Linked DNA regions of Rattus norvegicus. The main gene of each other region encodes a partner of the protein of the gene in region 5 in a complex. Links are inferred from orthologs where the notes say so. Each region holds a gene or a part of one and is shown on either strand. Other genes may lie near its edges. The genes, in order: B9d2, B9d1, Tctn1, Tmem216, Tmem237, Cep290 and Tmem17.

Evidence for each region.
Region 1: Tmem237 (region 5) and B9d2 share a complex: the UniProt entries of both Homo sapiens proteins name them as parts of the tectonic-like complex. The link is inferred for Rattus norvegicus from reciprocal best matches to the Homo sapiens genes TMEM237 and B9D2.
Region 2: Tmem237 (region 5) and B9d1 share a complex: the UniProt entries of both Homo sapiens proteins name them as parts of the tectonic-like complex. The link is inferred for Rattus norvegicus from reciprocal best matches to the Homo sapiens genes TMEM237 and B9D1.
Region 3: Tmem237 (region 5) and Tctn1 share a complex: the UniProt entries of both Homo sapiens proteins name them as parts of the tectonic-like complex. The link is inferred for Rattus norvegicus from reciprocal best matches to the Homo sapiens genes TMEM237 and TCTN1.
Region 4: Tmem237 (region 5) and Tmem216 share a complex: the UniProt entries of both Homo sapiens proteins name them as parts of the tectonic-like complex. The link is inferred for Rattus norvegicus from reciprocal best matches to the Homo sapiens genes TMEM237 and TMEM216.
Region 6: Tmem237 (region 5) and Cep290 share a complex: the UniProt entries of both Homo sapiens proteins name them as parts of the tectonic-like complex. The link is inferred for Rattus norvegicus from reciprocal best matches to the Homo sapiens genes TMEM237 and CEP290.
Region 7: Tmem237 (region 5) and Tmem17 share a complex: the UniProt entries of both Homo sapiens proteins name them as parts of the tectonic-like complex. The link is inferred for Rattus norvegicus from reciprocal best matches to the Homo sapiens genes TMEM237 and TMEM17.

What each region holds. Positions count from the first base shown.
Region 1 is NC_086019.1:90,316,330-90,320,349, reverse strand, and holds the start of B9d2 (B9 domain-containing protein 2), read right to left. Parts: upstream 2,801-4,020; 5' UTR 2,564-2,800; coding exon 2,476-2,563; intron 891-2,475; exon of another isoform or gene 435-890; coding exon 309-434; exon of another isoform or gene 1-308. UniProt on the Homo sapiens protein: Component of the tectonic-like complex, a complex localized at the transition zone of primary cilia and acting as a barrier that prevents diffusion of transmembrane proteins between the cilia and plasma membranes.
Region 2 is NC_086028.1:46,691,697-46,694,245, forward strand, and holds the end of B9d1 (B9 domain-containing protein 1), read left to right. Parts: intron 1-1,420; coding exon of another isoform or gene 1,421-1,474; coding exon 1,475-1,542; intron 1,543-1,769; coding exon 1,770-1,912; 3' UTR 1,913-2,047; downstream 2,048-2,549. UniProt on the Homo sapiens protein: Component of the tectonic-like complex, a complex localized at the transition zone of primary cilia and acting as a barrier that prevents diffusion of transmembrane proteins between the cilia and plasma membranes.
Region 3 is NC_086030.1:39,969,395-39,973,393, reverse strand, and holds the start of Tctn1 (tectonic-1 precursor), read right to left. Parts: upstream 2,801-3,999; 5' UTR 2,730-2,800; coding exon 2,372-2,729; intron 1-2,371. UniProt on the Homo sapiens protein: Component of the tectonic-like complex, a complex localized at the transition zone of primary cilia and acting as a barrier that prevents diffusion of transmembrane proteins between the cilia and plasma membranes.
Region 4 is NC_086019.1:216,623,720-216,627,928, forward strand, and holds the start of Tmem216 (transmembrane protein 216), read right to left. Parts: upstream 2,801-4,209; 5' UTR 2,785-2,800; coding exon 2,772-2,784; exon of another isoform or gene 2,758-2,771; intron 2,217-2,757; coding exon 2,115-2,216; intron 1,715-2,114; coding exon 1,622-1,714; intron 1-1,621. UniProt on the Homo sapiens protein: Part of the tectonic-like complex which is required for tissue-specific ciliogenesis and may regulate ciliary membrane composition.
Region 5 is NC_086027.1:68,042,583-68,046,082, reverse strand, and holds part of Tmem237 (transmembrane protein 237), read left to right. Parts: intron 1-1,066; coding exon 1,067-1,190; intron 1,191-1,418; coding exon 1,419-1,610; intron 1,611-2,413; coding exon of another isoform or gene 2,414-2,517; intron 2,518-2,937; coding exon 2,938-3,011; intron 3,012-3,500. UniProt on the Homo sapiens protein: Component of the transition zone in primary cilia. Required for ciliogenesis.
Region 6 is NC_086025.1:37,241,783-37,245,282, forward strand, and holds part of Cep290 (centrosomal protein of 290 kDa), read left to right. Parts: intron 1-77; coding exon 78-189; intron 190-1,628; coding exon 1,629-1,834; intron 1,835-2,764; coding exon 2,765-2,916; intron 2,917-3,500. UniProt on the Homo sapiens protein: Involved in early and late steps in cilia formation. Its association with CCP110 is required for inhibition of primary cilia formation by CCP110.
Region 7 is NC_086032.1:100,718,327-100,722,471, forward strand, and holds the start of Tmem17 (transmembrane protein 17), read left to right. Parts: upstream 1-1,345; 5' UTR 1,346-1,753; coding exon 1,754-1,853; intron 1,854-3,250; exon of another isoform or gene 3,251-3,325; intron 3,326-4,145. UniProt on the Homo sapiens protein: Transmembrane component of the tectonic-like complex, a complex localized at the transition zone of primary cilia and acting as a barrier that prevents diffusion of transmembrane proteins between the cilia and plasma membranes.

The DNA.
Region 1 (4,020 bases), on a different chromosome or scaffold from region 5:
GTCCGTGTGTGAGCAGCGGCAACTGGCCCATTTCCTGTCCCTCGCCTTCCCATCCAGCTCTCTTCACCCTACCCGGCCTCCTCACTGCCTTCTCCTCTGCCACTTGACCCCCCTCCCCCTGCTATCTCCTCTACCCCGACCTCTGGCACATTCCACGGCCTAGGTAGGGTTTTGCATAGCTCGAGTGAAGCCTCAAATGCACCAGAAAAAGGACCCACAAAGTATGGGGAGCAGAGACGGCCAGGGTGTTCCAAGCCCAGCTCTTCCTAGTTTGACTGCCCCTTCCCTTCCTGTCATCCTGTACGTACCTTGGAGACCTTTTGTAGCAAAGTGCAGGTCAATGGGGTGGGACCAGTAAGCCATGTCCCCTGTCTGGGGTGTGTCTACCTGCGTCTGGCCTTCCCGGACGCCTGACAGGAGCTTCCATGCGGCCCCTGTAATGAGAACAGGACACAGGGTTGGGGGTGAGTAGCACCCTTCAGGAAGGAGACCTGGTTTGTTTTCCCCTGGTATTTGGGAGTGGGGAGTTACACAGTGTAAACACTAGAACCAAATATCTGGATTCAGATCTTGGCACCCGCAGTCTACACCTGAAATCTCAGCATGTGGGAGTGTGTGGAGGGCTTTCCTGGGCTGCCTGATGAGTGTGAAGTCAGCATGGGCTACAGCGTGGGTCTCAAAAGGAAAACCGGAAGGAGATGAAGAGCACCTGAGAGAGAACAGACCTGGGCGGTGATGGCACTCACATTTAGTCTTAGCCCTCAGGAGACAGAGGCAGGCAGATCTCTGTGAGTTCGAAACCAGCCTGGTCTACAGGAGTTCCCAGGGCTGCCAGGGCTACATAGAAAAACCCTGTCTCAGAAAACAAATAAAGTCTGGTACTATTCATACATGTATTGTGTATTTTGCAGTGTTCGGGATGGAACCTAGAGCACTAAATATGCAAGGGCTCTGTAGCAACAATGTACAATCCACAGCCCCAAGTCTTATCTTCTTTTATCTGTGCAACCCCTGCAGAGTTACTTTTCTCTGTTTCCCTATCTATAGAACGAGTGACAAAAAAAAAAAGTCTCACAATTTATGAGAAGATGTAGAGCAAATATGGAGTATTGATTTTTAAAATATTCATCATGTGTTAGTCCTTATGCATACTGCTGGGGATACCATCCAGACAGGAGCCTTGTGTGTTATTCGGTACGTGCTCTATGCTCTAATGAGTTATATTCTCAGCACCGGTATCCTCTCATATAGCCAAGGCTAGCCTCAAACCTCTTACGTACTGAGAATGACCTTGAACTTGTCCTGACCCTCCTGCCTACCTTCCCCAAGTGATGAGATTCCTGGCATCCTTTCCCTACTATCCCCACCACCCCCATTCAGAGGCCTAGTTCAAAAACCTCACGAGATTAGGCACCATCTGAGAGCAGCACACCATGGCCCCAGTGAGGAATAAGGGGAAAGTGCCCACCTACTGAGCGCTAAATCCCAGATGCTGTGCTAAATGCTCCAGGAAATGCCTTCATCGTATCTCCCTCGCCCAGCACATACACCAAGCTGTCAGACTCCTCACTGTCACCTCGAAAAAAAAGCCACACGTGCACTCTTGATCCAGTCAGTCATCAGCCACTACCCTTCCCCACCCTGGAGCCTCACTGGTCCTGTCCTGCTCCCTTGCCTCAGGGCCTTGGCAGTGGCTGTTCCTTTTGCCTGGAAATGTCTGCTCCTGGGTGCCCTATTTCCGGCCTTTTCCCTCCTGCCCCAATTCAAGAGCCACTTGCACAGAAAGGCTTTCTCTGACTCAGACCTCCCTATCCCAAATCAACCTCCAGTACATCACTCTGCTTCTTTTTTTCTAGCGCTTACGATAATCTTGTGAATATTTTGTGCTCTTTTCTTTGAGACAGGGTCTCTTGCCATGTAGCATAGGCTGGCACCAAACTTGTAGGGGTTTGGGGATTTAGCTCAGTGGTAGAGCGCTTGCCTAGGAAGCGCAAGGCCCTGGGTTCGGTTCCCAGCTCCGGAAAAAAAAAGAAAAAAAAAAAACTTGTAATGGAAGGCTTCCTAGGTGCTGGAATTATAGATATGCATAACCACACCTAGCTTGTCTACTGGCCTGAGGACAGGAAGTGTGTGTGTGTGTGTGTGTGTGTGTGTGTGTGTGTGTGTGTGTGTTCTATGTCACAGCCCCATATGCTTACGGGCTATGTTTTCAGATGGTGGTATAACCTGAAAGAAAAGGATATTTTTTCTTTCTTTTTTTTTTTTTTTTTTACCCCGGAGCTGGGGACTGAACCCAGGGCCTTGCGCTTTCTAGGCAAGCGCTCTACCACTGAGCTAAATCCCCAACCCCTGGATATTTTTTTTTTTTTTAAAGCAGACAGTATGGTATAAGTTCATTGGAGAGTCGTGGAAAGAACATGGAGACATAGGCTAGGGGAGGCGGGTGGGTAATAGTTGGGAATGTGGGAAGAATACCTGTGTGGATGCCCCACTTGCAGAAGAGGCTACCTTCAGAGAAACCCGTGGCCCCTATGATCTGCCCGATCACGTGCACTTCGGCCATGGCTCTAGGAAAGGAAAAATCCAATCACAGCTCTGTGAGGTAAACTTATTATTTCCTTTGGACAACTGGGAAAACTGAAGCCAATATAGCATGAAGAACAGTACTGTGATTCTAAGCTAATTCCACTAACACACTGACAATGTGGTCTTCATCACAGATACAAGCCACCTTCCCAGAAAAGCCCAAGAAAAATGGGGAAGACCCCCCACCCCCGAGAGGTGCGGGAATCTGCACCAGTAAACCAAGGCGCAGACACTTAGAAAGCCCCGCCCCAGGATGTGTGACTCCACCCATTCGCGGTAGATCAGCCACGCTTCAAAAGGCGCATGCGTCTCAGATGTAGTGCTGCTTTAGCCCTACCCCTAGGCGTAGCGCATGCGTCGCTCCTACCTCTGCGTACTTGACCGTTAGAAGCGAAAGCTGCTTCGGGGATGGTAGTTCATGGGCCTGGCCTCTTCCTCTTTGCGGCCGCCGCCGAGGCTAGTCTCGCGCCCCGCCCGGGCCCTTCCAGGCGGAGGAAGACCTGAGGTAGATAGGTCCGCAGCCTCGCTCTCCTAGGGTTCCCGGGTTGTTGCTGGGGCAACAGCAGGCTCCTCCCCTGAGCCCGCCCTGTGCGCTGATGATTGGTGCTATATTTGCCCTCTGGGGGTGGGGCGTAGTTGTGATGGACGCAGTCATTCGGTACATTTTTGGGAACTCTGCGTCGGTCTTACCCTCGCGACGCCTTACGCCTCAGAGTGGGAGGCCTGGCGGGTTATCTCCATCAGCAGTCGAGGAAGTTAGAGCGCCAACTGTTTCCTCTCCATATCTTCTTCACGCAATAAGAAAATCTATTGATAGTCTTTGCTTCCTTAAACAAAACAAAACACCTTTCCTGTTCAGGATCATAGTCAGAACGAAGCCAGATGACACCAAACGGGCACCTAAAGGAATTCACATTGTGATCATCTCTCTGTTACAGCTGAAGGGATAAAAGGATCTCCACATTCTGACACTAGAGGACTTGGGAAGTAGGTTTTCTCTTCTGTTACAGGTTTTCTCTTCAGTTTTCAGAGCTCCCTCACATTGCTGCTTGTTGCTCTTCCAGAGAACTGAAATTCTGTTCCCAGCATTCTGCACCTCCAGCTCCAGGAGTTACAGCTCCACCTCTTCCCTCCCCCTGCACATGTGGCATACACAAATAATAAAAATAAACCCTACAAAAGGAAAGGAAGAAGCCCCTTTGGCAGAGGATTGAAGGGGGTCTCTTTCCTTTTTTCTTAGATTTTTTTTGAGTTGGAGCCAATTTTAAAATTTAAAACATTTGGGCTGGAGATTTAGCTCAGTGGTAGAGCGCTTACCTAGGAAGCGCCAGGCCCTGGGTTCGATCCCCAGCTCCGGAAAAAAAAAATTTAAAACATTTTATGATGAGTATTGTGGCTTGTGAGAGACTGAGGCAGGAGGATTGCTGCAAATTT
Region 2 (2,549 bases), on a different chromosome or scaffold from region 5:
GCTGGAAGCACTGTGGCTTACCCTCTGCATTTGGGAGTCTCTTGAACCAGGATGGCAGTGGCCTCCCTTGTTTGCTTCCCTTTTATCAGCCCTTGGATTTTTGAGCCCACGAGGTTCTGCTCTGCTTCAGCCCTTGCCTGGAACATTGTTCTGTCTCTTCTCAAATGGAAAAAGATTTTTTTCACTTAAATGTAGAGAGAACTTTGTGGAACAACTCCACCAGCATTCCGGTTTGCCTGAGGAGGTAGGACTTTGTCTACTTTCTGGGTAGTTTGGAGCAGGCTTTCTGGTAACCATGACTGTAGAAGAGAACTGGAAATATGGCCAGGGTGCCTACATGCCAGGATTGCTCTGAGACTCCTCATAGTACTGAGTGCAGTTAGAACTTTTATGTTGGGAAACAGAAGAGAGACACCCACTCATCTAGTTTCTAGAATGCTTAGCTGTAGGAATCCTGGCTTCTCTACTTAGGTTGTCTGAACTCTTCTCCTACGGCCCCCTCAGGAACTCCTACCCAGCAGTTTAATAGGACTGTGATGTCTAGCCTAGAAGTCCAGAGATCTAGCCATAACCTCAGCATAGCTGTAGGTTGTGGGTGTGTAGTCATGGTTACAAGAATGCCTGCTGCAAACTGTCCAGGTAGAAGACGAAGTCCTACCTCTTCAGGCAAACAGGAATGCTGGAGTTGTTCCACAAAGCCTGAGTTAGTCCTAGCTGCTGTGCTTGGGCTAATTCTGTATGCTCCAAGCCTATACAAAATGCAGGGTCTGTATCCATATATCATAGAGCTGTGGGTGGGGCCCAGGATCTGAAGTTTGGGTGCAATAGGATTGTGAATTACAAGACATTTGTAGGAAGTGCTTCTGAGTTTGCCAGCCAGGGCCTGGGGGCTGAATGGTACCCTTGGCTAGGTGAGACTTTTAAAAGTCAGATGACCTGTCGCTATCCACAGGCTTCCAGGGCCAGATCCTCCCTAGAATGGGTAATGTTTCATACAGCAGGTGATAGGGTGCCTTCACTTCACAGTCTCATGAGGTAGGTGCTATTATTACCCTATACTAGATAAACAGGTTCAGTGGTGGGGTGTGGCTTGTCCTGGATCCCACATAAGGAGACAAAGCTTAGGAAGCTGGATCTGGCCCTTCTTGGGGTTAGGCTTTCTCTCCTGGTTGTACTATTGGCCCTGCATCTCTCTCAACATTCACCCTTGGCTTAAAACCACAAAAGACTTGGCCAGGCAGGCTAGACACCCCTTGGAGCACCTGGCACTATTAGAATTGTTGGCAATGGACCCCTAACAGGGGACATCTCCTGGCACCCCGCTTGGCCTATCAAATAGGTAGGAGGTTGCCCTGGCACCTAGAGGAGGGGTTGCAGGAGAAATGCTACAACCTCTTAAGCCTGGAACACTCTTGTTCAGTGTCTGAAGCCAGCAAGTCCCAAGTGCTCCTCACTGGTGTTTTCCTGTTCTCAGCTGGTTCATGGGACGTCGGCCAGAGTACACTGACCCCAAGGTGGTGGCCCAGGGTGAAGGTCGGGAAGGTAAGACTGATGCTTCAGGTAACTTAAGGGTTGAGATGGGTCCCCAATCCCTAGGAGCCCAGAAAACACATGTGTGAAAGTCAAGGAGCTTCCAGACAACTGGGACCTAGTGATATACAAGACACCCAAAGAACTTTCTAGACCACCACCTACCTACACAAGGGCTTCAGCAGGTGGTTTCTGTCTGTCCCAGTCAAACCCAGCTAATGCTCAGCTTCTGTCCCCAGTGACCCGTGTTCGCTCTCAGGGATTTGTTACCCTCCTCTTCAATGTGGTGACCAAGGACATGAAGAAGCTGGGCTATGATACTGGGCCTGTGGACACACAAGGAGTCCTGAGTCCCAGCCTGCCACAGGGAAACCCACAATAAAAATGTCAGCTTTTCTCTCCACCACTGTGGACCAAATACCTTACAGCCCACACACAACCAAGGACATACCAACCTGGCTGAGAAGTGGGGGAGATAAAGATAGTTTTATATAATAAAGTGTCACTTTTTTTTCAGAGATTCTGGGGCCTGCATTTCTTGATTTCTTCATTAGCACCTCTCTAACAGAAACAGGCCTGGCGCCCAACAGGATGTACCCAGTAGAATGTCATGCTGGAGTGGAGGCCTCTCCAGGACTGCTGAGCAGTTTGCACAGAGCTGACCCCCCCTTTCAGTGTCTTCTTCAGCATCAGGAAGTTAGTCACTTGCTCCATGGCTGGCACTGTGACTATTTACCGTATTGTTAGCAGACTCCCAGGGCCCTGAGCGGCACCTGCCTTCCACCATGCATTCCTGTGCCCTACTTCCATCCTGATCTTCGTGTGCTGCCTGAGGATAGGGAAAGAACCATCCCAGGCAGGAGACTACCACCAGTGCGGGTTCCGGGCAAGCGCCGTAGCCCAACACCCTGACATCTGTGGGCCCCTAGTTTTCTCCACGCATGCTGGTAGTGTGACACATGAATTAACATGTTGTCAAACTACTCCACAACTGCTGGTCTCACCAAAGCTTGCTGTGG
Region 3 (3,999 bases), on a different chromosome or scaffold from region 5:
AAGAAATAACAGGCGCTGGAGAGATAGCTCAGTGGTTAAGAGCACTGACTGCTCTTCCAGAGGTCCTGAGTTCAAATCCCAACAACCACATGGTGGCTCACAACCATCTGTAGTGGGATCTGACGCCCTCTTCTGGTATGTCTGAAGACAGCTACGGTGTACTCACATACATTAAATGACTAAATAAATAAATCTATGAAAAAGAGAAATCCATTTGTTACTCTGGTTCCAGAGGATCTCATGCCCTCTTCTGGTCTCTGCAGGTACCTACCAGGCACATATATGGCATCATTCAGGTATCTACAGAGGCAAAACACCCCTTATAAATCTCAAAAACCAGAACATACAACAACGAGGACGACCAGTACCAGAGCCTGGAAGTAAACTGAATGCATGGCTCTGACTGCCGTGAGGGGGAGGAAGTAATAAATTTGGGGCTTTGATAATCTTGGTTGTTTTGCTCTTTGTTTTCTGAAACAGAGGCTCATTTGGATCGGATCTCCTAACCTCCCACCTCTCAGCAGAAGATGAAGGATCACAGTTGTGACCCACCACGGTTCTCCCTTTCCCCAGCTAAAATGTCACTGAATCTTTGGGGGTTTTTTTGTTTTGTTTTGTTTTTTTGGTTTTTTTGTTTGTTTGTTTGTTTGTTTGTTTTGTTTTTTTGAGATGGATTCTCTGTGTAGCCTTGGCTGTCCTGAAACTTACTTTGGAGGTCAGGCTGGCTTGAACTCAGAGATCCACCTGCCTCTGTACCACCCACCTTACCCCAGGATAAAGGTGTGTACAACCACCACCACCACCACCTGACTTGATTTTCTTTTTAAGAATTATTTATTTTGGGGTTGGGGATTTGGCTCAGTGGCAGAGCGCTTGCCTAGGAAGTGCAAGGCCGTGGGTTAGGTCCCCAGCTCCGAAAAAAAAGAACCAAAAAAAAAAAAAAAAGAATTATTTATTTTGTTTATATGAGTACACTGCAGCTGTCTTTAGACACACCAGAAGAGGGCATCAGATCCCATTATAGATGGTTGTGAGCCACCCTGTGGTTGCTGGGAATTGAATCAAGACCTCTGGAAGAGCAGTCAGTGTTCTTAACCACTGAGCCATCTCTCCAGCTCCCTGATTCTTAACTGTAATGTTTTGTTTCCTAGGGGGAGTGGGAGAGGCAACAATCTCAGGCTTAAAGAACTTTAGCTAATAGGACATCATGGCATTGTTTCTATGAATGAATGATTTAAAAAAAAAATAAAAACAACCTCTAGAGATGGGAGGCATGATGGGAGGCATGATGGGAGGCCCACACCTGGGAATCTCAGCAACAGGGAAGCAGTCAGGATAGTCAGAAAGGTATCAGGTTATATATAGGCCAGTCTGGGTCACTTAGCAAAACTGTCAGGAACAAAGTTAAGAAAAAAGGAGAAAGCAGGAGACTAGAATATTTCTACAGGAGGCTGGAGAGATAGCTCAGGAGTTTTTAAAAAAGCACATATTGCTTCTGTCCCCAGCACCCAAGTCAGGCAGCTTACAAACCAACTCCAGCTCCCGGGGCTCTGAGGCCCTTTTATGTTCTCCAAGGTCACCAATATATATCCAGCCACCCAAGTGCTCACCTATACAAATATACACACATAATTAAATATGTGTGTATGTGTGTGTGTGTTATATATTTATATATATATATATATATATTTTTTTTTTTTTAAGAAAAATTCTCCCCCAAAATGGTATAATGTGCTTTGGAAAGACACAAAAGGAAAAGGAAGTTTATTGATAAATGCAAAATGTTTCTTAGTCCGAAAGGCAAATGTGCTCCTTCTAGATGAGGTCCTCTCTAGCCATGGACAACTGGGCATGCTCGCTAAAATAACGCCACAATCCCTTAACTGGCACGGAAAGCAGAAAGAGAGCAATTAGGCCCACTGCCTCATGTGTTTAAAATTACAACCACGAATTATTGGAAAAGCTTCAGAAGGTAAGAAGATGAGGGTAAAGCTGGCATGTTTAATAACTCCACTGAGCTCTCAAGTCATCTAAACAGCATTCGTATGCTCACGTCCGTGTGTCTGCATGGAAAGGACTAAGATCTACTTAGCACCCTTTCTTCTACCAGTACTGCCTACAACTCATTCTGAAGGTTTCTATCTAGAACTCCACTCCAGAGTCACTTTCTGCATCAACACTCCAGCTGTTTGAAATTATGTGGGAAAGGGAGTAACTTAGCTCCGCTCTCCGCGTTTGTGTGCTGGAGATCCCGTCTCCCTCTCAGGGAACGACAGGGAGGCTGAGAAAGGTGGAACTTTGAGAAGGGTTATCATTTTCCGTACGTTCTTACTGGTCTACTCGCTCCAGGGAGTTAGCACTTTGTACCCACCGTCCGTGACCGGGGTGGGCCTGGGGCCAGAGAGCTCCGGTGGCCTGGGAGTTCCCGGGGTCCTAGGAGACCAGGAGGGTCTGAGAGTGGCGGGGGTGGCCTCGGTGAAGTTGAGATCCTCATTCGTCACCACCGGGGTGGCCTCGGTGAAGTTGAGATCCTCATTCGTCACCACCGGGGTGGCCTCGGTGAAGTTGAGATCCTCATTCGTCACCACCGGGGTGGCCTCGGTGAAGTTGAGATCCTCATTCGTCACCACCGGGGTGGCCGCAGCCGGGGTGGCAACGACCTGGGTGCTCGAAGAGGTGCAGCAGTTTAGGAGCACCAGCAGGAGCGGCGGAAGACACCGCGACCCCATGGACTAGCATACTATCCCGCGCCAGAGAGCTAGGCCTGTCTGTTGCCGGGCAACAGTCACAGCCGAGCGCTAGGCACCACGGGAAAGGGCTCGCGAGGCCACGCTAGTCTGCGGAGAAAGGTGGGGCCTGAAGCCAGACCAGCGGGGATTGGGTTAAGGCCCGCCGATCACGAAAGGGGCGGGAACTGGGCAGGGCTATGGGCGGGACCTGATTGGCGTCGGAGGGGCGGGGCCGGGACCGTGGGGGCGGGGTCTGAGACTGCTCTTTCTAAGGAGCCCTCTGAAAACCGGAATCTGTAAACTAATGTGTCATGGTTAGAAGTGCATGTTTAGAGGCGACTGGAGTCCTTTAAGACATATTGCCACCATCCTTGAATTTCTTACCCCATGTTACTTACTGACTTTACTTTCTTTGCCTTTAGATACAACGCAGGAGGTCGCCAGACCACTTCTATCCACGTATTTATGATAAGAGAAACAAAAGAATTCTTAACTTTTTGGTTCTTTTAGACAGGATCTCTCTGTGTCCGCCTGACTAATCTCGAACTCAAGGAAGTCCTATATCAGTGCCTCATGCAGACATGCACCACGGAATCCAACCTCCATTTCTGCTGTTATGTCATTCGGAATGTTCTCGTGTGTTCGTTGGTTGGTTGGGGAAGATGGGGGAGGAGTTTGAGACAGAGTTTCTATAGCCCTGGCTGTCCGAGATCGCACTCTGTGGACCAGGCTTCCTTGAACTCAGAGAACCGCCTGCTTCTGCCTCCCAAGTCTGTCTGTCTTCCTTCCTTTCTTTCTTTAGGTTTATTTGTGTATTTTTTGTATATGGGTGTTATGTCCGTATGCACACCAGAAGAGGGCATCACATCTCATGAGACTACAGTCATAGACAGTCATGAGCTGCCGTATGGGTGCTGGGAATTGAACCCAGGACCTCTGAAAGAGCAGCCAGAACTCTTAACCCTCCAACCCCTCCTCAAGTCTTACAGTCCCATGCTTCGAACCATTCTGCGAAAAGTTCAGTTCTCAAAGTCGTCTTATCTAATCTCAAGCCCTGATGGCCCCAATGTAAAAGTCAAGGTGTAGACTGCATCTGCTCATACGTTTTTGGAATCCTTAGGGACCCTGGGGACTCATTTGTTAGGTTTTTTTTTTTTTCCCCATCATAGGTCAATGAGTCCATCTAGGGGCTAGAGAGATGACTCAGCCATTAGGCACACTTGCTGCTTGCAGAGGACCAGGGTTCAGTTCTCGGCACTGAATATATAAA
Region 4 (4,209 bases), on a different chromosome or scaffold from region 5:
CCTGTTTCAAAAAAGAAAAAAGACAAAAAAAGCAACATATGAGCCAGGCATAGAAGTACACATTTATAATCCCAGCATGCACGAGGCTAAGGTCAGAATTGAGAATTCAAGTTCATCCTGGTCTCCTTGCTTCAAAACACCAAAACCAAACTGCGTATCTGTGTGTATACACATGTATGTTTATATCCACATGTATACACATAATTTATAAACAAAGTAAAATATGTATAGCTATAATATACATGTGTGTATGTAAATGTATATGTACGTTAAAACTTCAATTCATATGGAAAATAATTTAAGTGCATTAAAAATGTCTGTTCTTTAGGGCTACAGAGAAGGAGCACTGGGTGGTCAAGAGCACTTGCTGATTTCCTGAGGACCAGGTTTACTCAATGGCAGCTCAGCACTCTGTAACTTCAGTTCCAGAGGATCTGACGCCTCTCTCTCTCTCTCTCTCTCTCTCTCTCTCTCTCTCTCTCTCTCTATCTCTCTCTCTCTCTCTCTCTCTCTCTCTAAATAACTTTTAATTCTTACTTGTGCTTGTATGTGCCCACAAAGCCCAGAAGACAACATTGGATCCTCTGGAATTGGAATTAGACAGTTGTAAGTTATCTAATGTGAATGCTGGGAACTAAACTGGGGTCCTCCTGCAAAAGCAGGAGGTTTAAAAGTCCTTTTAAACCTCTGAGCCATCTCTAGCCCAAGACCTTCTTCTGACCTCTGTGGGTACCAGACATACACGTACTATACAGGCATACATACAGGCAAAGTATCCATAGACATAAAACAATGTTTTAATTAAAAAATATGTATTCTAAAAGCCAAATATGGATTCTGTACTGTATAAATCTTTCTTACTATTGCCAATATATAAAAGAAAAAAATGTTACCATGTTTTTCTTTGCTTTTTTTTCCCTTGTTTTTGTTGCTTTTCTTTACTAAGTTTGATCACATTGGCAGGTTTTTTTGTTTGTTTGTTTGTTTGTTTGTTTGTTTGTTTTGAGCTAGGATCTCCTTATACATCCCTGTCTGGTCTGGAACTCACTATGTCTAGGAACACATAGCCATCCTCTTGCCTCTGTCAGTGGGTACTGGGATTAAAGGCATGTGCCACCATGCTCACCTTAGCAAGGTTTTTGGTCTTCTATATGTGAACTGACTCTTAGTGTCCCTTACCATTTTTCTCCCTTGGGTTTGTATCTTAACACTGGGATGATATGTTCTAAGTAATCAGCAGTTTTGCTCTGTGTCTCTGGTGTTTAAAAGCTTCTAGAGGAATCCTTGTTTAGAGAAGTGGAGGGAACCTTAGAGTTCTTTAGGAATGTACTGCTTTACTCTCTCAAACAAAGCAAGGAGAAGAAGCAGGCACTCTTGTAGTAGTCAGGCAACTGGAAAGGAATGAGCTAAGATCAAATGCTACTGCCAGTTCTAGCCTCACTTAGAAACACACAGGTAAATCTTGACCTAAAATACAAAGCAGCAGCTTGAAGCCTTAGGGAGGAAGCAATCAATGGTATACATTACACAGACCCAATCTCTGATAGTGAGCCTAGGTTATCAAGTTTCAGGCTCCAGCATGTCTCATAAGCAATGGAAATATTTTCTGAACAACACTCACCAAAAAACAATCGTATTACTTCAATGCCAAGATAAAGGAGCAGCATCACCACATCTAGGACTAGGTTGGCTGTTGGGTATGGCAGCAGGAGACCTACAAGTGTAAAAGCCAGAGTATGTAAACAGCCCCCACATCCCCACAAGGCTGCCACACATCCAGGGACAAGGATACTAGTCTTAACTTCTCATGAATCAGTTAGCAAGGTATAGATTGTTACAGCCACAGGCTTTAAGTCTAGAAGTCCTGACTCCCAAATGACTGAATTATAACGGTACACAGATCTGAATATTTCAGTAAAGAGGGATGGGGAAGCCCACATTTCTCAAGTTCAAGACTTGCTGAAAGACTTCCTACTTGATCATTCCAAAGCCACTAGTTGGAGAGACTTCTGCCTTGCAGTGGAGATGCTGCAGGGGCCAGAAGATAGAAGGTTCTTGGAGTAGGCTAAAGTAGAAAAGGGCTGCTGAAGCAGGCCAGTTAGGCCCAGCCTTACCTTTGTACAGGAAAATAAGGAGCTCCAGCAGGAAATAGGTAGCATAGTACCACCCATTCAGAAAGAACAGGATTTCCAGAGGGGTTGAGGACAATCTTTTATCTGGGAAAAAAAAAAAAAAAAAAAAAAAGCAACACAAAGAATGGACAGGGCAGCTGGAGCTCTGCCCCGTTCTGTGTAATGATTCTGTGTAATCTGTAGAAAACACAAGGTTATTGTGAATGAGGGAGAAACTTCTGGTTGCTAAGAGTGTTGATGTGAAGGGAACTGCCTTCAACCTCCTTTCCCAGGAATCACTTTAAGGTCGACTTCTCTGACAATTAAGCTATAATCACAGCCGAGAGGCACCTCAGATATTCAACCCTGTCACTACTGAAGAGGACATTGGAGCACAGAAATTTGCTTAATTCTGTCCAAGGCCGGAGGATTCGTAACTGGGCCATCCCAGAGCAGGGCCAGCCTGGAATTTTTAAGAGTACAGTATCCGAGTATCCATGCAGCCACTCGGGGTGGTCTGAGCAACCCAAGCCCAATTCGGACAAGTGAAGAGTAAGACCCCAACTTTTAGAAATGGAGGATTAGGTAGAGCTCTGGAGAGGGGCCTGGCAGGTACCAGTGGGATATAAGGGGCAGAGACACACACCTCCAGAGTCTCACCTCGCGGCGCCATGTTCAGTCCCCATGGAAACTGCGTACGCTGCAGCGCCCGGGGCAATGCAGCGCTGCCGGAAGCGCGGCACAGAGGCGCCCGGGTTTTCTGGCCGCTCTGCCTGCGAGTGCTACTCTATGGTTACCCCACCGGCCGCGCCCTTGCACGGAGCAACGCCCGCGGTCAACAGCGGACTGTGGTCTAGGGAGAGGATAAGGTTATATACGAAGGCAGAAAGAGCCCAGGAGACCCAAACAGCTCTCGAACTGAACTCTCCACCCCTGGCGTCATGGTGTTGGGCTTCATTGGCCGGGTGCGGCCGAATACTTGGAGGAGCGGCCCCAGGCCCACCATTCTCTTTCTACTGCCATGTGTTAGTTTAGAAAAAAAAAAAAAAGCAGCACGGCATGCCACTGTGCACAAGGCTTACCTAGGGCCCATTGACGCAACAAAATCCTGTGGAAACACCAAAACCACTGGAGGTAGAATGACCTTTCTAGGACATGTGGTAAACAGCGGTGCTATAACGTGGCTCTCCTGCCACCCAAAAAGTGCAAAGGTGTTGAAGGGAGACAGTTTATGCCCAGGTAGAAATTGAGAGATGTTTCCAACAAGCTTGAGTTAAGAATCCTGGCCGCAATTCGAAGCAAGAGCGTGTTGTTGCAGGCCGCAGAGTAAAAGAGTAAGACTTCTGAAAAGACATGGGTTGACTCTGCAGTCAGCCCTTAGAGTATGGCAGTCAGACAACAAATAACTGGAGAGAGTAACTAACCTGTAATGAAAGTGTTATTTCCCTACCTAGTGAATAAAAGCAGTAATTGTTGCTTCTCAAAGACCTAAAGCAGCTGGAGAGATGGCTCAGCGGTTAAGAGCACTGCCTGCTCTTCCAGAGGTCCTGAATTCAATTCCCAACAACCACATGGTGGCTCCCAACCATCTGTAATGGGATCTGATGCCCTCTTCTGGTGTGTCTGAAGACAGCTACAGTGTACTCAAATTTAAAAAAAAAAAAAAAAAAAAGACCTAAAGCAATTCCTCACCTGGAGAGAATAATTTAAGCAGAAGCCTATTTCTATCACTCCCCACCTCCACCTCTGCTTTCCTGCCTCCTTCACTGGCTTATTCTGGTCTGGTTTAGTTTGACTAGACAGATCTCCCTATGTAGGCTAGGCAGGCCTCAAATTCTCCTGCCTCTGCTTCCCGTCCAGTCCTGGAGTTTCAAGTGGGTGTCACAACGCTCTGGCAGGTCCTAAATGGAATTTTAATCCCCACTATCAAGAACCAGGGCAAGATGAGGTGATGGAAAGAACCCTGGTTCCTGCACCCCAACTGTGCTACCTTTACACACCTCCTGCTCTGAACCTCAGAGCAAAGGAAGGTGGACCAGTTGCTTGTTTTTTTTAAATTATGGGTCTTAAATCACCCTGCCTACACATATTGTGTACA
Region 5 (3,500 bases):
TTGAACTGAGAATGCGGTCCCCATTGGAGGAGTTAGAGAAAGGATTGAAGGAGCTGAAGGGGCTTACAACCCCATAAGAATAATAATACCAACCAACCAGAGCTCCTAGGGACTAAACCGCTACCCAAAGAGTACACATGGACAGAGGATAGCCTTGTCAGGCACCAATGGGAGGAGAAGCCCTTGGTCCTGCCAAGACTGGACACCCCCCACCCCCATTGTGTAGGGGAATGTCAGGTCGGGGAGGAGGGAAGGGGTGGGTGGATGGGTGGGGGAACACCCTCATAGTAGAAGGGGGAAGAGGAATGGGATAGGGGATTTATGGATGGGAAACCAGGAAAGGGGTTACATTTGAAATGTAAATAAAAAATAGCATATATATATATGATATATATATGATATATATATTTAAAAAAAGATGAATAAATTGGGGCTAGAGAGATGGCTCAGCAGTTAAGAGTACCAACTGCTTCTGGAGGTCCTGAGTTCAATTCCCAGCAACCAAATGGTGGTTCACAACCATCTGATGGAATCTGATGCCTCTTCTGAAGAAAGAGACTGTATACTCACATACATAAAATAAATAACTAAATCTTAAAAATAAAGATGAAGAAATTACATATCTAAGTAGTCAAAGGTGAAAGAAAAGGAAAGTTACAGTCCAGTGTAATTTTTAGAATAAAAAAAATAGCAAATTCAACCCCTTCTATTTATTTATTTATTTATTTATTTATTTATTTATTTATTTAGGTTTTGAGCACATGTGCTTGTAGGTGTGAGGTAGACGAGTGACATTCGTGTGAGGTCAGGACAACTTTGTGGGGCCAGTTCCGTCCTGCTGCCTCTGTGGGTCTAGGGCCAAGCTTAGGTCAGCAGACTTGATCTGAGGCAGCACCTTTACTCCACTCTGCAGGCTCCTGGTCTGTTTTCTAAGATTTTATTTTATTCCAATCACTTACATGTGCATGCTCGTGGAGGCCAAGGCGCCAGATCCTCCTGGACCTGCAGTTCAGGCGCTTGCTTGTTAGCCTTCAGTGATTGTGTTCTGTCTGCTCCGCACTCCCAGGGAGATTTCAGGCGGCGGACCGTTCGGAGTTGATAAAGACCACAGAAAACGTAGATGTGTCAATGGACATGAAGCCATCTTGGACTACCCGCGATGTGGCACTTTCCGTGCACCGAGCTTTCAGGTGGCTGCCTTTTGTTGGTGTTCATTAAGCAAATGTTAATTGGATAGCATCGTTTAAAAGAAAAATGTTTGGCTGTTCCAACTTCGTAAACAATTTAAAATGGAATGTAGATTTATTCTTGTAGACATTCCATTTGTGCTTTTCAACTTTATTTTATTTGAGGAGGTTTTAAAAATACCTTAGCTTTTTATTTTAGTGGCTAATACATAACTAAAATCTTCTGTGCAGGATGATCGGCCTCTTCTCTCACGGCTTCTTGGCTGGCTGTGCTGTGTGGAATATTGTTGTGATCTGTGTTCTCGCGGGAGACCAGTTCTCTAATGTCTCCAACCTTCTGCAGCAGTACAAGCCCTTGGCATATCCCTTCCAGAGCCTTCTTTACTTGCTTTTGGCTCTAAGTACAGTTTCAGCATTTGACAGGTAAGGCTGTTGTGAATGCGGGCTCTTCTAACCTTCCTTCAGGAAGAAATAGTAAGCAATATATGTCACTATGGCTTTTCAAGGTTGAATGACCCTTTTTTAAACCAGTCTTTGGATTAGTATGGCCTTGTCTTCATTTCACTGTATTCATAGAGATCTTGTTTCCAAATGAAGTCACTTTCTTAAGGACTAAGGTTAGACCTTCACCACTTATTTTGGAGAACACAGGTCAACCCATTTTTAAAAATATCAGCAGGGCTGGAGAGATGGCTCGGTGGGTAAAGATGCCTGCTGCTAAACCTGCTGTCCTAAGTTTGCTACCCAAGAGCCACGCTGTGGAAGGAGACAACCAACTCCTACCTTCACATAGCTCCTGTGTGTGTGAGTGCATGGGCGTGTACCCACCTGCCCATACAAACTAAATAAAATCACACCCCCCTCAAAAAAACCCAAACAAACCCTGCCTATTGTCATGACTGGCCTGTTTTTGTGATAAAACACTATGCAAAAACAGTTTTGGGAGAAACAGGTTTGTTTTACCACATATTGTATGGTCCCCTGTCAGGGGAACACACAGCTAGAACTCACCAAGGCCAGAACCTGGAGTTGTGAACAGAGACCTGGTACTGGTTTCTTCTCCATGGCTTGCTCAGCCTTCTTTTTATACAACCCAGTACACCTGCCCAGCGACGGGCCTGCCCCAGCGATGGTGTCGCCCAGAGTGAGCCGGGCCCTCCCACAGTCTTGATTTGTTCCTTGGTTGTTTTTTTTTGTTTGTTTGTTTTATTTTGTTTTTGAGACAGGATTTCTCTGAGTAGCCTGGGCTTCCTGGACTCCCTCTGTACACTAGGCTGGCCCCAAACTGACAGACCCACCCGCCTCTGCTTTCCGAGGACTTGGATTAAAGGTGTGCACCACCCCGGCCCTGAGCACATCAAGAAAATGCCCCGATAGACTTGCTTACAGCCCAGTCCTATGGAGTCATTTTCTTAGTGGAGGTTCCCTCAGCTTCCCAGATGACTCTAGGTAAAGACCAGTTGATAAAAACTAGGCAGCACTGTAGTCCAATAGTTTACCGGGAAGAGGAGGAAGCTAATGATTTTTGCCAATCAAGGTTAAACTGTTTCCTCATGTGTCTTAATACTCATCTTCGTGTTAGATAGACTTTGTAAATCAGGTAGATACTTTCTTTGTTGAAGTTCAGACGTTAACTAGAGACTGGCAAGGGACAGACGTGGTGGCGGTAGAATAGAGAAGGGGACCCAGCAAGGGAAGATACTGTTGTGTTTCAGCTGCACAGTGACACAAAGTCTTCATCTCGTTCTAGGATCGACTTTGCTAAAACCTCAGTAGCAATCCGGAACTTTTTGGCCCTGGAGCCAACAGCTTTAGCCTCTTTCTGTAAGTAATAGTTACCTTAATAACTATGTTATAATTGAGGAGAAGAAAAATATTGTACAATTTATACTTTAAAATGTGGTAGGAGTAATTTTTTTTTTTCGGAGCTGAGGACCGAACCCAGGGCCTTGCACTTGCTAGGCAAGTGCTCTACCACTGAGCTAAATCCCCAACCCAGGAGTAATTTTTAAGAACTGTTTTTTGTTTTTGTTTTTGAGGCAGGATCTGTTACATAGCTCAGGTTGGCCTTGAACTTTCTGTGTGGTTGAGGATAGCTTTGAACTTCTCATTCTGTTTGCTTTCCCTTAAGTGCTGGGATTTGCAAGCATCCTCTGCTGTGCCTGGCTTACAAGTGTTTCTCATTTGAAGATCATCTAAGAGGTCCTGGGTTTAATGCCCCACACCAAAAATAATAAGTAAAGTTAAACTTGCTGGCCTTCATTACTTACTTAGCTTCTGTGTTTCCCCTTGGCAGACTCAGATGGCCTGGCA
Region 6 (3,500 bases), on a different chromosome or scaffold from region 5:
GCAAAGCAGTGTCGCCTCTGTGACTCTCACCTCATTGCCATGTAGCCTTCTGTAATGTCTGTCTTCTGTTCGTTCAGTGTGAAAATGCATCGCTGAAAGAACAGATGGAGGGGCTCAGTAAAGAGCTGGAGATCACAAAGGAAAAGCTCCATACCATCGAACAAGCCTGGGAACAAGAAACGAAGTTAGGTAAGTCTTATTACTCCGGGAATACCGGGTGAGAGATAAATAACAGTCGTTTTTTTCTTTTTTCTTTTCTTTTTTCTTTTTTTTTCTTTTTTCTTGTTTACTGAAAAATTCTTTTCTGTAGCAGAATATATGGATATAGTTTGATTTAAAAAGATGAACTGTATCCCATACCTTAGTTTAGTACACAGAGGAAGAATACTATTCTGGGTGTTTGCTTTATAGTTCTCACATGAGATTTTTTTTTTCCTGTTAAAATCATATGTTATTAATTTATGATTCAACACTAGCTATTTCTGTCTTTATTTTTCATTAATATATTTATTCACTTTGCTTCCTGATTTCAGCCCCCTCCCTGTTCGTCCAGTCCACCCTCACAAATCCCTCCCTCATTGCCTCCTCCCCTTGAGTATCACTTGGGTACTACCCTGCCCTGGGACATCAAGTCACAGCAGGACTAAGGGCATCCTCTCCCACTGAGGCCAGACCAGGCAGTCCAGCTCAAGGAAGGGGATCCAGTGGCAGGCAGCTGAGTCAGAGACAGACCTGGTTCCAATTGTTAGAGCACCCACATGAAGATTATTTTGAATTATTATAATGGTATTCTTGAAATACATGTTTTTTTCTGAATACAAAGTTTATGTGTTGTGTATTATTTGATACCTTTTAAAATATCAAAGAAAATTTGGGGATTTATATTGCTTATATTTGTAGCAGTATATCATCATAATTCTTTTATGGATGTTTTTATTTTTATGTATTTTAAATAATAAATATTACTTGTTATATACTATACCAATTTAGTAGAAATTCCAATTATTTCCATATTTTAATCATTTTTCTCATAGAAATTTATGCAATATTATATTGTTTGAGTGATTATGATTAAAGCATTAGTTTTTAATTTTGCCATTATTTAAAGTGCTGCAGAGATCTTCATCTTTATCTGACTTGCCATATTATTGAATATAAAATTGTAATATGATAGTATTTGATACTGCATGCTTATAATGCCCAAAATAATGCTTATTATTTGAGATTATCTTGTAGAGTTTCTTAATCATATCACTTAATATTTTACTGTTGACTTTAAAAATATTGCACCTATATGTCTAAAGTCACACTGCTGTCCTGTATTGTCCCAGTGCAGTTAACATTACTTCCACAGCAAGTGTTCTTTACTGCTTGTCAACATGCTCCAACCTGTGACAGCTCTACATTGACCTACACATGGCCATTTCAGTAAATTGCATTTTTTATTGTCATTTGATAAATGGAGATCTTTATTCTAGAAAGAATACATGAATAAGGATCAGAAAGATAGGAATAAATAAATGGAATACAGATATGTCTTAATTCAAAAGTTCATACAACTGTGCTTTTTTTTTTTTTTTTTACACCTCTCCTTAATTGTCTTTTGTGTGTTGTATTATTCCACGTAGGAAATGAATCAAACATGGATAAGGCAAAGAAATCAATGACAAATAGTGACATTGTTTCTATTTCAAAAAAAATCACTGTGTTGGAGATGAAAGAATTAAATGAAAGGCAGAGGGCTGAACACTGTCAGAAAATGTATGAGCACCTAAGAACTTCATTGAAGCACATGGAAGAACGAAACTTTGAATTGGAAACCAAGTTCACTGAGGTTTGATACGATTTTTTTGATGTAAATAGGCAGTAAGAATTCAATAGTAGACACTGGATTATTGCTAGGAACTTTGTGTCTCTAAGCTAGCATATGCATACAGCATTTGCACTTTATATAATGGATATATAGACTATTCTTTCGAAATCTCAGTACTTTACACTGAAGCACTTGTTTCTGTAAACACATTCTTTCTTGCCAATGTCATGGTATTGTTTTTAGTGAACAGAAGGATGTCATTTCTTTAAAAGCAAGTTGTCTTCCAATACTATCTCTTGTTTAAAAAGTATTCATTCTCTTTTTCACTCCAGCATCTGTTTGGGAACTGAAATTATATAGTAAGAGGCAAAATAGTTAAAAATCTGTGTTTTCAAAAACTTTAACAGCAGGTTATTATAGATACTTAGTGTGCTCTGAATTAAGTAGTCTGCAGATACTCAACAGCCTATGATTGAGTGACACCTTGCAGATGCTTAGGTTAAGATAGATTTCAAAAGCGTAAGTATCATTTTTTTCTTTTAAGACATTTAATGTTAGTAAAAATTTATATATTTTATAAAATTTAAAATTTTGTTGGCTCACTTGGGTTTATTCTTAAGTACTTTGCTTATATTTCAAAAATTCTTATGTATTGATTGCCAACATAAATAATTTATGATAGAATTAGACTATTAACTACATTTTTTAATTTGTTCTTGATTCTTTCTTTAGTTTGTTCTTATCACTTTATACCTGTTTCTGGGCTAAGGGAAAGTAAAGAAGACTGTAGTACTCAAGAGAGTAGAAGTTATGTCTCCAGACTGGAGCTGTATGTAGTTCATTGACTTAAGTTAGTGCGTGCCCTGGGTTCTATTCCCAGCATAAGGTAAATAGAATGAATACAATCACATAGTCCTGGGGACTGTTTTATTGTTGTGGCTTTTCCCATAGCTTACCAAAATCAACCTGGATGCACAGAAGGTGGAGCAGATGCTGAGAGATGAATTAGCTGATAGTGTGAACAAGGCAGTGAGCGACGCCGATAGACAGCGGATTCTAGAACTGGAGAAGCGTGAAGTGGAGCTCAAAGTGGAAGTGTCTAAGTAAGTGCTATTTCCTTTGTCTTTAAGTTCAATTACAAATATATGGAGCAGTACCTATACTCATATTTTTAAAAAAGAGGATTAATATTTTTATTTGGTTGTTTTTTAACCAGATGATATAACATTGAAGAGGAAATTACATCTCACAGTTTGCTTTTTTTTTTCAGAATGTAAGGATGCAACTGTAGAAGGCCTAAAGTTAAAACAGAAACCACGTAGGGCCTATGTCTTACTCATTGCCTGTTTGGGGGGAAGTAGAGATGTAAGAGTCACTTAGTATTTCATTTATTCACTTTTAAAAGAAAGGAATTTTACCTTTTTATAAGGTTGGTGTAAACATATAATTAATTTATATTTAGATTTACTTTAATTTTCTTCAGAGCTAGCTATGTGGTAGGCATCGTGTAAGACATCAGACATATTAATTCATGAATTCTTGCTTTCTAACACTTGGAAAATTGCCTTTCATTTGACAGTAGAAACTGCCCAGCTACTTTAGAACACTAACTATATGCGCCAGGTAGACACTATCACTCTTTATCTGGTCAGGTGCTGTTCTAGTGGGATCATAAGGAGCTTTGAGT
Region 7 (4,145 bases), on a different chromosome or scaffold from region 5:
TCCGAGCTTCTGTAATTGTTGGTTAGAATGTTACAGATCAAAGGACGAAATTATCTTAGGCTCTCTTCAGTCCTCTTGATATCCATTTACCACTTGCCTCTGTATCTGATCATTCCATTCAGAAAACACCTTTGGAATCTGTTAGGTTAGCCGATTGTGGCTTTCACCAATCCACCAACCCAAAGCTATTATACCCTCATACAGCATTTGAGACCTATGGCAAAGGTGTCCCTGCCTTGCTGTGACCTGCCTACCTGGTGTCCTCACTAATGGATTTAGTAGACGCATTGATTTATGGCTATCTTGCACCCTCTAGTAATACAAATTCATATTGCCACTTTGATGGCGGAACAGATTACCTGGATAACCTGAATCTATCTTTCCCGCTTTGGGGACTCATAGTTAGCTCAGAATAAATCCTTTCTCACTCCCTTTGGGAACGAGGTTTCTGATGGAGTTACAGACGTGAGCCACCATGTGGGTAAAGGGAAATGAACCGGGGTCCTCTGCAAGAGCAGTGAGTGTTGGTAACCGCTGAGACATCTGCAGACCCACCGCCCTTCACCAGAAAGATGAAAAGGTTAGGGTGGAATATAAGCCCACACTCATGAAATAACAGGGACGTTCAAATATAGCTGGAGGTGGGAGAGTCTGATGAAACCTCTTTGGGAATGTGTTCGTAGATCCCAATAAAATCGGTCTTACACACCACTCCACTCAGCACTTCTCCGGCACACTCTCAACATAAACGTGAATGTTACACTTGACAAAAAGGTGTATGTTATACTCAACATAAACATATGCTTACCAACAAGCATTTTCACCAACAGTGGCACCTGTCATAACTGCTCCTACGTAGAAACTACACAGAAACTTATCAACATAGACAAACTTGGTGTGATCATAAAATAAAAAGAAGATTCATACAAATGTTGACATCAAAGTCAGATTTTCTTTTTAAACTTCAGTGTGCGATTAGTGTACTATAAAGTTGCTTCATAAGCAACTGAGAAAACGTAGCTCCTGGAGATGCTGATACGGTTGACTGACTTGGGTGCTGGTACATCCGATTGTGCTTTTCTTTATATGGCTATTACGGTTTGTTCTGGGTTTTAAGGATTTTGCAATGTAGTCCAGGCTAGCCTGATCTCCTGTCTCTGCCTGAGTGCTAAAATGATACATCTTAAGGGAGAGCAGGGAACGGCTGATGTTTTTAGTTTTTAAGTCACCCATATTCCAGAAACAACTGCTCTCAATACTTTTGAGTTATTTTCCTGTCTTCTGAAGCAGGTTTGCTTGTCTCATCCACCCTGGCCTTACTCCAGATTTTATGTACCGATAGAAAGGAACCTACTGGGTCAAGCGCATTCTTTAAGATTTATGTTTCTTTTCCATTTCCCTCTAGAAATGGCGCACCAATTTTACGGAAAAACTGCCTTGGTGTGAGAGCTCCTTGTGGCTCAGCTCAGGACCAAATGGCTTATTACTTGTGATCATCTTAAGACGCTGCAGCTTTAAAGCAAGACGGAGGAACCCTCCATTTTCAGCAGCACTAGGCCACATTCGGCAGCGGGCCGGTGGCTCCCGCTCGCCTCTCCGCGGAGAAGGCTCTGGAGGACTCTGTTCCGCGCCGGGCAGCCCAGGAACCAGGTCCCCAGCGGCCAGCACAGCCCTGTTGCCAAGGGAACCGCCACGCGCCGCTGAGCTGGCCCACTAGCGGGAACGTGAGGGGATAGGCCCGGGCAGGCCAGACATGGAGCTGCCGGACCCTGTTCGTCAGCGCTTGAGCAACCTCAGCCTCACCATGTTCGGCGACTCCAGCCGTACCGGGCCAGAGTCCAGTGAGGCCGCGGGTGAGTGGCAAGGGGCCCCACGCGGAGGTGTGGTTCGCGGGCGGGCGGCCGCATAGGCCGTGCCCGGGTCAAAGATGGCGGCCACGGCTTCAGCCAGGGTACTGTCCTGGGTTAGGAGACCGCGACCCTGTGGCGGACCCGGGAGACCACGAGCTTCAGTAGCCACAGCTACTGCACCCGGTGGCGCTGTCGCCGAGCGGATTGGGAGGCAGAGTGCATAGCAGGAACGCCTTCTCCCACAAGCCGGTCCCCGCTACGTGAAAGCAGTCCGCTCGCAGGCCAGGGTGGGGAAGAGGCTTCCCGCTCCCACCCTGCACAAAACCGGGCTGTGTCCAAACTCCTAGCAGAGCAAGCACGTTCCTCACCAGCCACTGGCAGCGGCCAAGCTAACATGGCCTTCCTCTGCCTGTTCCTTTCTCCCTGTATAAAAAACTCTCTCCCTCAATCTAATAACGAAATACCACCGAGTTGACCCCAGTTTCTGCCTCCTCAATCAGGACGACAGCGTACATGATTTTCACCTTTGAACTCAAGAAAGTGGAAATCCGTCTTGATTTGGGCTTTTTTTATTTTTATTTTTTAAAGGGGGTATTGGAAAACAAAGCCACTTCTCATCATTGCATTTTGTCACCTTGGTCATTTGTGTAATTTAGGTTATGTAGGGGAAAACCTGAAAAAAATTAGGATTTTATGTTTCTGATTTAAAGTGCGAGCCTTACCGTGCAGAGCCTCAACAACCTAGATAGTAGCAAGGCTGACTATGCATTTACTCCCAGCACTCAGTGGGCAGAGGCCAGCCTAGTCTTCAGATCAAGTTCCAGGACAGCCAGGGCTATACAAAGAAACCCTGCCTTGGGGGAAAAAAAGTCATTCCTATATTTGGGATAATTTAGGATAGTTTAAGAAATCAAAGCAAGAAAAACAGACCACAATAGTCAGCCTTGCTCTTAAAACTTAGTTTCCTTCTAGAGACCATGATTTTTTTTTCATTAATTTGTTTTATTTTATGTGCATTGGCTTTTATGCTTGTGTGCCTGCATGTACACCTGTGTTACAGACAATTGTGAACTGCCATGTGGTTGCTGAGAATTGAACACAGGTCCTCTGGTTAGAGCAGTCAGTGCTCTTAACAACTGAGCCATCTCTCCAGTCCCCTACCCCATGATTGTTTTAAAAGTATTAACCGTCAATTAAAAAAAACTATGCAGAGAAAAACAAAAATCAGTTTCAGTGGAAATTCTCATTATCTTCCTAAATTCTTACATTTAGAACAACCAATTTAAAATAAGAATGTAGTTAAATTATAATGTATTTTAGGGCTCAATTTTTATAATCAAATTCTTGTTGAAGGACCTTTTGTTTTCTTTTTTTTTCTCTCTCTCTCTCTTTTTTCTTTTTTTCGGAGCTGGGGACCGAACCCAGGGCCTTGTGCTTCCTAGGCAAACGCTCTACCACTGAGCTAAATCCCCGGACCTTTTCTTTTATACAAAAGCAAAAGATGTTGGGTAACCAGTCTAGTAAGTAGAATGTGTGAGTCACAAATGGCCACCTGTATGGCAGCATGCTTTTGAAAATCAGTTCTTTTTGCTTCTACATGGTTGGTATTTGTACGATTCTGAACAGGACATGTTAAGTGAAATCTGTGCTTACACTGAGACAGCATTGTCTCCGTATACAAGGAAGGGCACTGTCTGTGGAGTGCCCACTAAGTGTGATAGGCATAATGGAAAGAGTGGAGTTCCTCACAACAGCCTGTGAGGAGTCATCCCTCCAGAGATGATTAGGGGAATGCCCAGAAAGATGTAATAATGTATCCCAACTCTGGCTCCTAGAGTCTCTGTCTTCTGTCTTACTTAGTCTTTCTAGTGCTGTGAAGATACAACGTAACCAAGGAAAACATTTAATGGGAGCCGGCTTACAGATTCAGAGGTTTAGTCCATTATCATCATGTTAGGAAGCATGGCAGACGTGCTGGAGGAGTAGTTGAGAATTCTACATCCAGATTGGCAGGCAACAGGAAGAGAGAGTGACAGTGGACCTGGCTTGAGCGTCTGAAACCTCAACGCCCAACTCCAGTGACACTTCCTCCTACAAGGCCATGCCTCCTAATAGTGCTGCTCCCTGTATATACGTGTGTGTGTGTGTGTGTGTGTGTGTGTGTGTGTGTGTGCAAGCAGCACTCTTGACCACTGAACCATCTCTCCAGCCCTAACCAGCACTTCTTATATGCAGTTCAGAGAGGAAAATACCTAGAGGGGCAAGATTTCTTTCGGAGTGGGGGAACATAATCAA